2 linked regions of the Tribolium castaneum genome follow. The protein of the gene in region 1 purifies or fractionates together with the protein of each later gene. This does not show direct contact. Links are inferred from orthologs where the notes say so. Each region holds a gene or a part of one and is shown on either strand. Other genes may lie near its edges.

Region 1 (4,266 bases):
TCAGAATTTGAAAAAAGCAAAAAAAAAGGAACAATATAGTTGACTACTTTTCTCTACAAGTTCATGAAAACGATTTTCACTAAAGTCGTACCTACGATTCTACCATAGATAATACCAAGCGATTTTTTTAAGTTTTGATCTAATTATCCATGACAGTTACCTCAGCAGTGAAATATATTGCGTAAATAACTTCAGCATCGGTTTATCTGCCAATGTTCTCCGAAGAACATAAAAAATATATTGAAACCTTAGTTTCGTAATAAACATCGAGTTAACTTAATTGTCATGGATAACTAGATCAAAATTTTAGAAAATCGCACGGTACTTATAGAAAATATATGTACACTCGTCTAGTTTTAAAATGTCATGTTCATAGATATTATTATCATCTGTTTATTGGCACGATATTTTCAAATAATCGAGTATATATGTACTTCAATCTTATAAAATAGTAATTAAAAATTAACCATACAAGTACCTAAACAACTTAAAAATTAGTTAAAACGTTTCTTTTTTACAAAAAACACTTTTTCTCAAATTGGTGTTCATTAGAAAAGAGTGCTTTGAGAGGTGCGGATGACTTGAAGCACCTGGTATACCTAGTATAAATATCTTAGATTTTTTGATAATTATATAAATAAATCTTAATTTAAAATTGTCTTTTATGGTATAAAATTAAGGCTCGTTAAACGAGCTACTTTTGGTGCACTGCCTATTTGCATCATTATTTCTAAAATGTTGCAAAGCTGATGGAATGACTGTGAAAATGTTGATTGTTTATGAGGTACTCAAGCGAATAGAAATAATCTAAAACACTAATCTATCCACTCGGTAATATCCAAGCTTTTAATCAATACTGACAGTTGATGACCTGATGTCTGGTGTGAGCGTCTTCTTAATCGTTAAGAAAGCCCAATCAATAAATCGCGCTTCGATTTGAATGTTAGTGTTATTGTGTTAAATAAAAATGGCGCTTATATTTTTGTCGTGTCGTCCGTTTTAAAACAAAGAAGTGCATTGGTATGGAATAAAAAGCGGCCCGCACACCTCGTATTGATTCCGCAGCGACAGCCCGGTGACATTCTTTATCAATACGTCACAGCTCATATTTCAAGTTCTCTTGCATCCGCCCTCAAAGCTACAAAGAAACTAAGTTCTTTCAGTAGCGGAGGGTGGGCGGTAGCTGTTCTGTGGTGGTAGGGCACCAATGGCCAGACGAGGCGCAGCCGCTCTACCCAATAGGCCGTGGCGAGTGCGTGACGAAACAGGCCCCGCCTTCCGGCACTTGCAGCACTTTTTCCCAATGTTTTTATTTATTACATTTGTACCCGGCGAGTGTACCGGTCGTGTCCGCACCAGTCGAGTACAGAGTGTACCCCGTGCGCACGACGCCCCGCCCGGCCATCCATCCGAGCCCTCACTGTTGCGACTCCTCTTCTGGGTGATGGACTCTGGTGCAGTGCTCTAGGTGTTCGCGTCGCGATGGACAACTCCGGGATGGACTCCGCCAGCGAGCACAGCAGCCACGCGTCCTCGGGCTCGCCGGCCGTCGCCGTCAAGCCGTCGCCGTCGCCGCCCGCCGCCAACAGCAACACGCACCAGGTGCACAGCCCGCGCCAGGCCAGCCCGCTGGGGCCGCCCATGTCCATGGCGCACCCGCTGAGCCCGCCGCCCGTCAGCTCGGCCAGTCTGGCCCGCAGCATGGCTCTGGGCCACCTGCCGCCCCCCGGCTTGGGCTTGCTCAACTCGCTGGGGGTGCTGCACAGCCCTCTGGACCTCATGGCGCATCACGCACCGCCACGGTCCTACAACAGCCCGCCGCCGATTTCCACCTCCGATCCCACGGCTAATGAGTGCAAACTGGTTGATTACAGAGGACAGAAGGTCGCCGCTTTTATCATCGCCGGCGATACCATGCTGTGTCTTCCGCAAGCCTTTGAGCTCTTCCTCAAGCACCTCGTCGGAGGACTGCATACGGTTTATACCAAGCTTAAAAGGCTAGACATCGTGCCGTTGGTTTGTAACGTCGAGCAGGTCAGGATCTTGAGAGGACTCGGTGCCATTCAACCAGGGGTTAACAGATGCAAGCTACTCTCATGCAAAGACTTCGATACACTCTACAGAGACTGCACTACGGCCAGGTACGTGTTTGCGGATTTTGGATTAGTTCTTATTTTAATCAATGATTTGCCGACAACTTCAGCGATTCCAGGACTTTGATCATTGTTAGATCAATGTGACTTTGAACAAATTATATTGATTATGATACCACAGACGAATATAGGTATTTATGACAACGATCCATAGCAAAGCAGTGCAAAAAAAACAATTTTTTGTTTGTTGATGCTTGCCATTATAAATATGCATTACCTACCGATATTTAAATAGGTATTTATAAAATTAACATACAGTAATAGTTTCCTAATCACTGATGATGCCAATTCAAATGAATTCGACTTTAAAGTGAATTAATTACTGTTATACGTATCTATTATTATTGTCAATACTAATTACATTATTACTTTTTAATCTCGGAACCTACATTATGGGGTTCTAATTTTTTATAATTTTATAATTTTTTTATAATTTTCTAAAGAAGTTCTGTTTTTTAATTGTTTTTGTTCTTTATATATTTTTTTTTATTTAACCTACTACAGTGATAAGTCATCGACCATTGTTTGAAATGCGATTTTCCTTTATGAAGTTAAAAATTTATACATTTTTTAGTGTTTAGTTAGGTGGTACCTACCTTATTTTTACCGTACCTACAGATATTTACTCACAAGTGGGGTCAATGACAATAATGACATGCTCTATTAATTTTATTTTTACTTTTATTTCCATGAAATCATACTGGAAAACAAAATCGATTTGTTCAAAAAAATTTTTATAAATGTTTCTACACAAAAGTATGACTTTCTTTTCTATCTCGGGAATAAATTATGCGCGGATTTTATAATCGTCAGGTAATTTTATACTGGGGATAAATTTTGAAAAATATATGGTTGTAACATTTGTAACTATAGTCGTTAGGGGAAGATAGCCTATATTATACCAAAGTAACCAAACGGAGGTACATTTTTGGAAACTTTAAACAAATAACTAAAAATGAGGTAGATTACAGAAAAACAAAGTTAAAAATGATTGTGTATGAGTAAAAAGACGCTAAACTATTGTAATATAAGCGCAAAAATTACGAAAAATTGGCCCGAGATTTGTTGTTTTGTTGATAACACAATGAAACTTTTAGCTACAGCTTTGAATTTTACTACACTGTCAAAAATACTTTCTGTTATACCTATTCTTAAAAAAATCGCAAAGATATAATATAGGCTAATTGTAGTAAAACATAAAAATACGAAAAAATAGTAATTTTGCTTTTTTAATTTTGTTCTTGAGCTTGTACAAAGGTCTAAATTTGATTTGGCGCTCGCTTGGAATGTAGTTACCTTTGTATAATTTATAAATGCTGCTCTCTTTGAAGCCTACCCCTTGCATTGGTAGAATTCCCCCGATTGCCAAGACAGCAGAGACAATTGCATTTATGATAGATGCAGTCTATAAATACAAACTGGGCCAACAAACCCCCGCGTTTAGATTGAAATAATTATAAACGCAATGAAACAAGGGGAGAATCGAGTGCAGGATAGCGTCCCCTTTCTATTTCTGCATACTCGACGATTGTTGATTCAATAACATGAAACTCGTCTGAATTCCAATCATATATTATAAAACTGGAGATAACGCACGTGTTTTATTAATGTTTCGTGAGGTCCGAGTGGCGCCTCTCAATCGATATATTATTTCGAATGGTATAAAGGGATGATAAGTTGAACGGTCATCTGACAGAACCTATTAGCACTCGGCTATTATAAAGGCGTAGGCTATCGGAAAATCTTTGAGGCTTCCCGGTGCGTTCATCCTCGCCCGAGCCTGGCCTCGGCTACTGACCATTTATAATATAAATATTAACGCTATTGTTTGTATTGTGGTCTTTAATGGAATTTGTTAAACATCACGCAAGGTTTTTCGAAAAAACCGAAACTTGAGCGAGGTAATTAAGAGACGTTAAAGCCATACAAAGTAGAAAACAACAATGGGATACGTGTAACAATAAACAAGACGGGAGCATAGTGTTCTTGTGGGGATTTAAATCATCTTTAAATAAATATTGTTGACAGTTACGCCTTGCCATTAAAATATCCGAAGCGGGTAGACCTACAACTTGTTCGAGAAAATCACACTGTTATTTATTACGGGACTATG
Region 2 (3,568 bases), on another chromosome or scaffold:
ATTTCCGGTTGTTGATCCGCCACTAACTGATCAATCGGAAGTTACCACGTATGGGAGAATAAGAGGGTTAGTTTTGAGGTCACAATTAATTGTTATTTTGAAAAAGAAGATTTTTAACGAAAATTCGGACTTTTGGGAGGATATTAATGCGGGAATCTTTCGAGATGAGTATCCCCGATATCCAACAATAGAGGTAGTGGTATTTCTCTCGCCCTTTCCTTTTTAAGTAATTAAGTTTAATTCTTTAGCAAGTGAGTGTTTCCGAAGTTGAAAAAACTTATTCTATTGATCTGAGGCCGTTTATGAATCCGTCACCATATACGGTGCTTCATGTAATTAAAAAAACAAGTAATTAGCATTTAATCATTTTTTTTTTTCAGTCGGCATCACTACCTCGAATGTTTAGATTATTCCGAGCTCTCGGTTTACGACATTTGCCGATTGTTAATGACACAAATGAGGTTATAGGAATGGTAACAAGGAAAGATTTAGCTCGTTATAGAGTCTGGAGACATCGGGGTCGCATGGGGGTAGAAGAATTATTAATTTCCAAAGAAATATGACCGCTTACAGTATTATGATATGATGATATAGTTTCACGAATAATTATGTTGTCGCTTTTGACAAAAGAATTTTATTTATTGTTAATTAAAGACTTTACCCATTTTCCATTGTTTTTATTCTAACCAATTTTTTTTAATGAATTCACTACTTGTTACTGAGACAATTTTTATTAATAAAAATGTGATAAACTACATAAAATAAAACAAATCGCGCTAAATCTACCGTAAATAATACAATTCAAATGGCTCCATACAAAATATGGTCACAGTATTAAAGCTACAACTATGAATATCTCAGCACCAAAATATAAAAAAATCACTCTGGTGTATAATTTTTATAAAAAAATATAAATCGTACTCTATCCTTAAAACTGTCCCGCAATGATGGGACAGCCAGCATTCACATGTTCCATCACTTCCAATTTGAGCATCCCCACGTGTTCCTTCAACTGGTTGACCACTGAAGCCAATTCAACATTCTCACTTTTCAACAGTTTGACTTTATCCTCCAATTTCGAGATTCGTTCCAATTTGCGGGAACGACATTTAGAGGCTGCGAGTCTATTCCTTTGTCTCTTTCGCTCCAATTTCATTCTTTCCTGATATTCCATATCGACAGGAGACATTGGGGGCGTATTATTCACGTTGGGCACCGTTTGGGGCTCCTCTTTGATCACAGGCATGAAATTCTGCTGTTCGCTGTAAACCGTACTGGCATTACTGTCAGAACCTTGCTGAGAATTGCCATTGTGAAGATAATTAAGCGCTTCGACGAAACCGCCTGCAAACTTCTCTTGCTCCACAGTGACGTCCCGCGGGAAGATAAGTGAAGGGGAAGGCGTGTGTGAAATATTATTCGCCAAGATGATGTTCTCAATGGTGGGTGTGTCCACTTTGAGGAGGTCAGGGGTATCTACTTTGAGGACGGACGTGATGTCGGGGGATAACGATAGGTTCATGTTCATTTTCGACTGATTAAGATCAAGAGTGAGATTTTTCTTCATGTTACTGAGGTTTTTTTGCTGACTTTCAAAGTTGGGTCCGCTCATTTTTTTTATCAATTATTTTTGTACAATTCCCAACCTAACCACGACCAAAGATTGAAAAATAGGTAAACAGGCACGACGACCAAAGCCAACAGTGAATAATAAACGGAATCACTAATTTCCATAAAATCTGAAATGGAAATTTTAGGTTAAGTTACGTCAATAGCAAACAAAAGAATATCGAGAAATGAAGATTCTCGAAGAAGAAAACAAAGTGAAGGTCTGTGAGGTGTCCCTCAAGCATTACTTGGTAAAAAAGTAAATAATGAATCTTTAATATTATAACACTTACTTTAACACCACATTCAAAAGCAAAGCGCTTTTATTTGTAATGACTCACAATGTAGCACAACACTGGCTTGAAAATTTCTTGAATATAACTTTTAACTTCTTGTGTAGTATTGTTCTCGAAATACTACAGAATACTAACAAATACGACGTAATAACTTTCGATATGAATGAGTCATCCCTTTCATGGATTTTCAGAAATGAGAATGACGTCATGTCGAAATGATTCGCTAAAGCGACACCTAGACAATTCTACAGGAAACTGACCGCAGTGTTTTACGGGTTGCCAACATGATCTTTGAACCCCATCTTACCCCATCCAAAAAATACGATTTAAGAAATGAAAAGACAGTGATATTAACGACTAAAGTTTTAGCCGATTTTCATTCAAAAATTGTGATTTAATTTACAAAAAAACTTTGGAAACAAAGAAAAAAGTGTAAATATTTTATATTCTGTCCGACTTTAAATGCGATAAGTACTACAAAATAAAAACAAATTATGGTAATAACCAAATAGATAACTATTTTTAATTATCATGCGAGGAAAAAACCTTTATTTAGAAAATGTATGATAAGAAGCATTGGCACTAAAATAACAGAAATTGTAATAAAGAGATCAACAATAGTTGTCTATTTCTTCAAAATGACGAAAAAATTCCTAACCTGCTTTATTTGTAGCGTATGAGCTAGTTTGCCTAGGGTAAACACAGTTCCCTTGACCTTAATAGGATAATTCATTTAAATTACTTTTTCGATCAAAATACGTCCCCGAGTGTATGCATCAAGGAGCTCCTTGGTCCGTCCTTGGTATACATCAACGGTTCATAGGTTAAAAAACCCAAATAAAATTGATTTGCAAATAATAATTCCACAGGGAATATTTGCCACTTCCTGTCTCGCCTTCGCAAAGCGGAAAAATGGATGGTGTTATTCAACGTGTTATTTCATCAATTGCAACAAATTTGGACGGATATGGTGAATTATCCAATTGTATCAAACGGTTTCGTAATACTAATTAGGATAATAAATTAAAGGGTAGACACAACTTTGCAGACTTTGCAACACGAACGAAACATTTTTTTTTTCGGAAAAAAAAAACTATGTAGGAGTTAATCGAGCCACATCATAGCAAATCAGTAACACGTATACGCCAACTTTTTTTTTTGTAATTACGGAAATGGTAACCCTTCTTCACTTCAGTTCATTTACTATCAATCAATAAAAATTGAAAAAACAATCCGTTATATTTTTCTTAAACGCAGATCGCACTTTATGAATCTTTCCGTTAGAATCAAGGTTTCGCGCAGGCCCTATTTGAAGCTGCATTCAGTCTTCATATTGAACTCAAACCGAACATTTCGTGATCATATAATCTAATTTTATTTAAATTAAATAATTCTTTTCGTTTGAAATTTTTAACACAAACCAATAATGGTCCATTTACAATACATTACTGGACTATCCCTTCTTCTTATTTTAGTGTGTTTGAAATCAAGTAAGTATAAAACACCCTCCAGTTCGAATTTAACTTATGCCTCTCATAAATTTATTTAATTATTGCTACACTTGTGAAGTGCTACACTTGTGAGACAGTAATGATTACATAATCAACTACTTTTATTGTTCGCACCCTTCGAGACCCCTCCAATTTTTTCCACCAATTCAAGTA

Evidence for each region.
Region 2: the proteins of dac (region 1) and Jra purify together in Homo sapiens (affinity purification with western blotting; 3 studies listed by BioGRID and IntAct, with this or other methods). This does not show direct contact. The link is inferred for Tribolium castaneum from reciprocal best matches to the Homo sapiens genes DACH1 and JUN.

The regions. Positions count from the first base shown.
Region 1 is NC_087402.1:2,086,991-2,091,256, reverse strand, and holds the start of dac (dachshund homolog 1), read left to right. Parts: upstream 1-1,293; 5' UTR 1,294-1,482; coding exon 1,483-2,141; intron 2,142-4,266. UniProt on the Homo sapiens protein: Transcription factor that is involved in regulation of organogenesis. Seems to be a regulator of SIX1, SIX6 and probably SIX5.
Region 2 is NC_087399.1:145,915-149,482, forward strand, and holds Jra (Jun-related antigen), read right to left. Parts: upstream 2,046-3,568; 5' UTR 1,902-2,045; intron 1,854-1,901; coding exon of another isoform or gene 1,781-1,853; intron 1,740-1,780; coding exon of another isoform or gene 1,621-1,739; 5' UTR 1,613-1,620; coding exon 929-1,612; 3' UTR 713-928; downstream 1-712. Other genes in the region: ClC-b (H(+)/Cl(-) exchange transporter 7), read left to right, coding at 1-193, 249-332, 381-563; phosphatidylinositol N-acetylglucosaminyltransferase subunit Y-like, read right to left, coding at 1,621-1,739, 1,781-1,853; uncharacterized protein LOC663924, read left to right, coding at 3,331-3,394. UniProt on the Homo sapiens protein: Transcription factor that recognizes and binds to the AP-1 consensus motif 5'-TGA[GC]TCA-3'.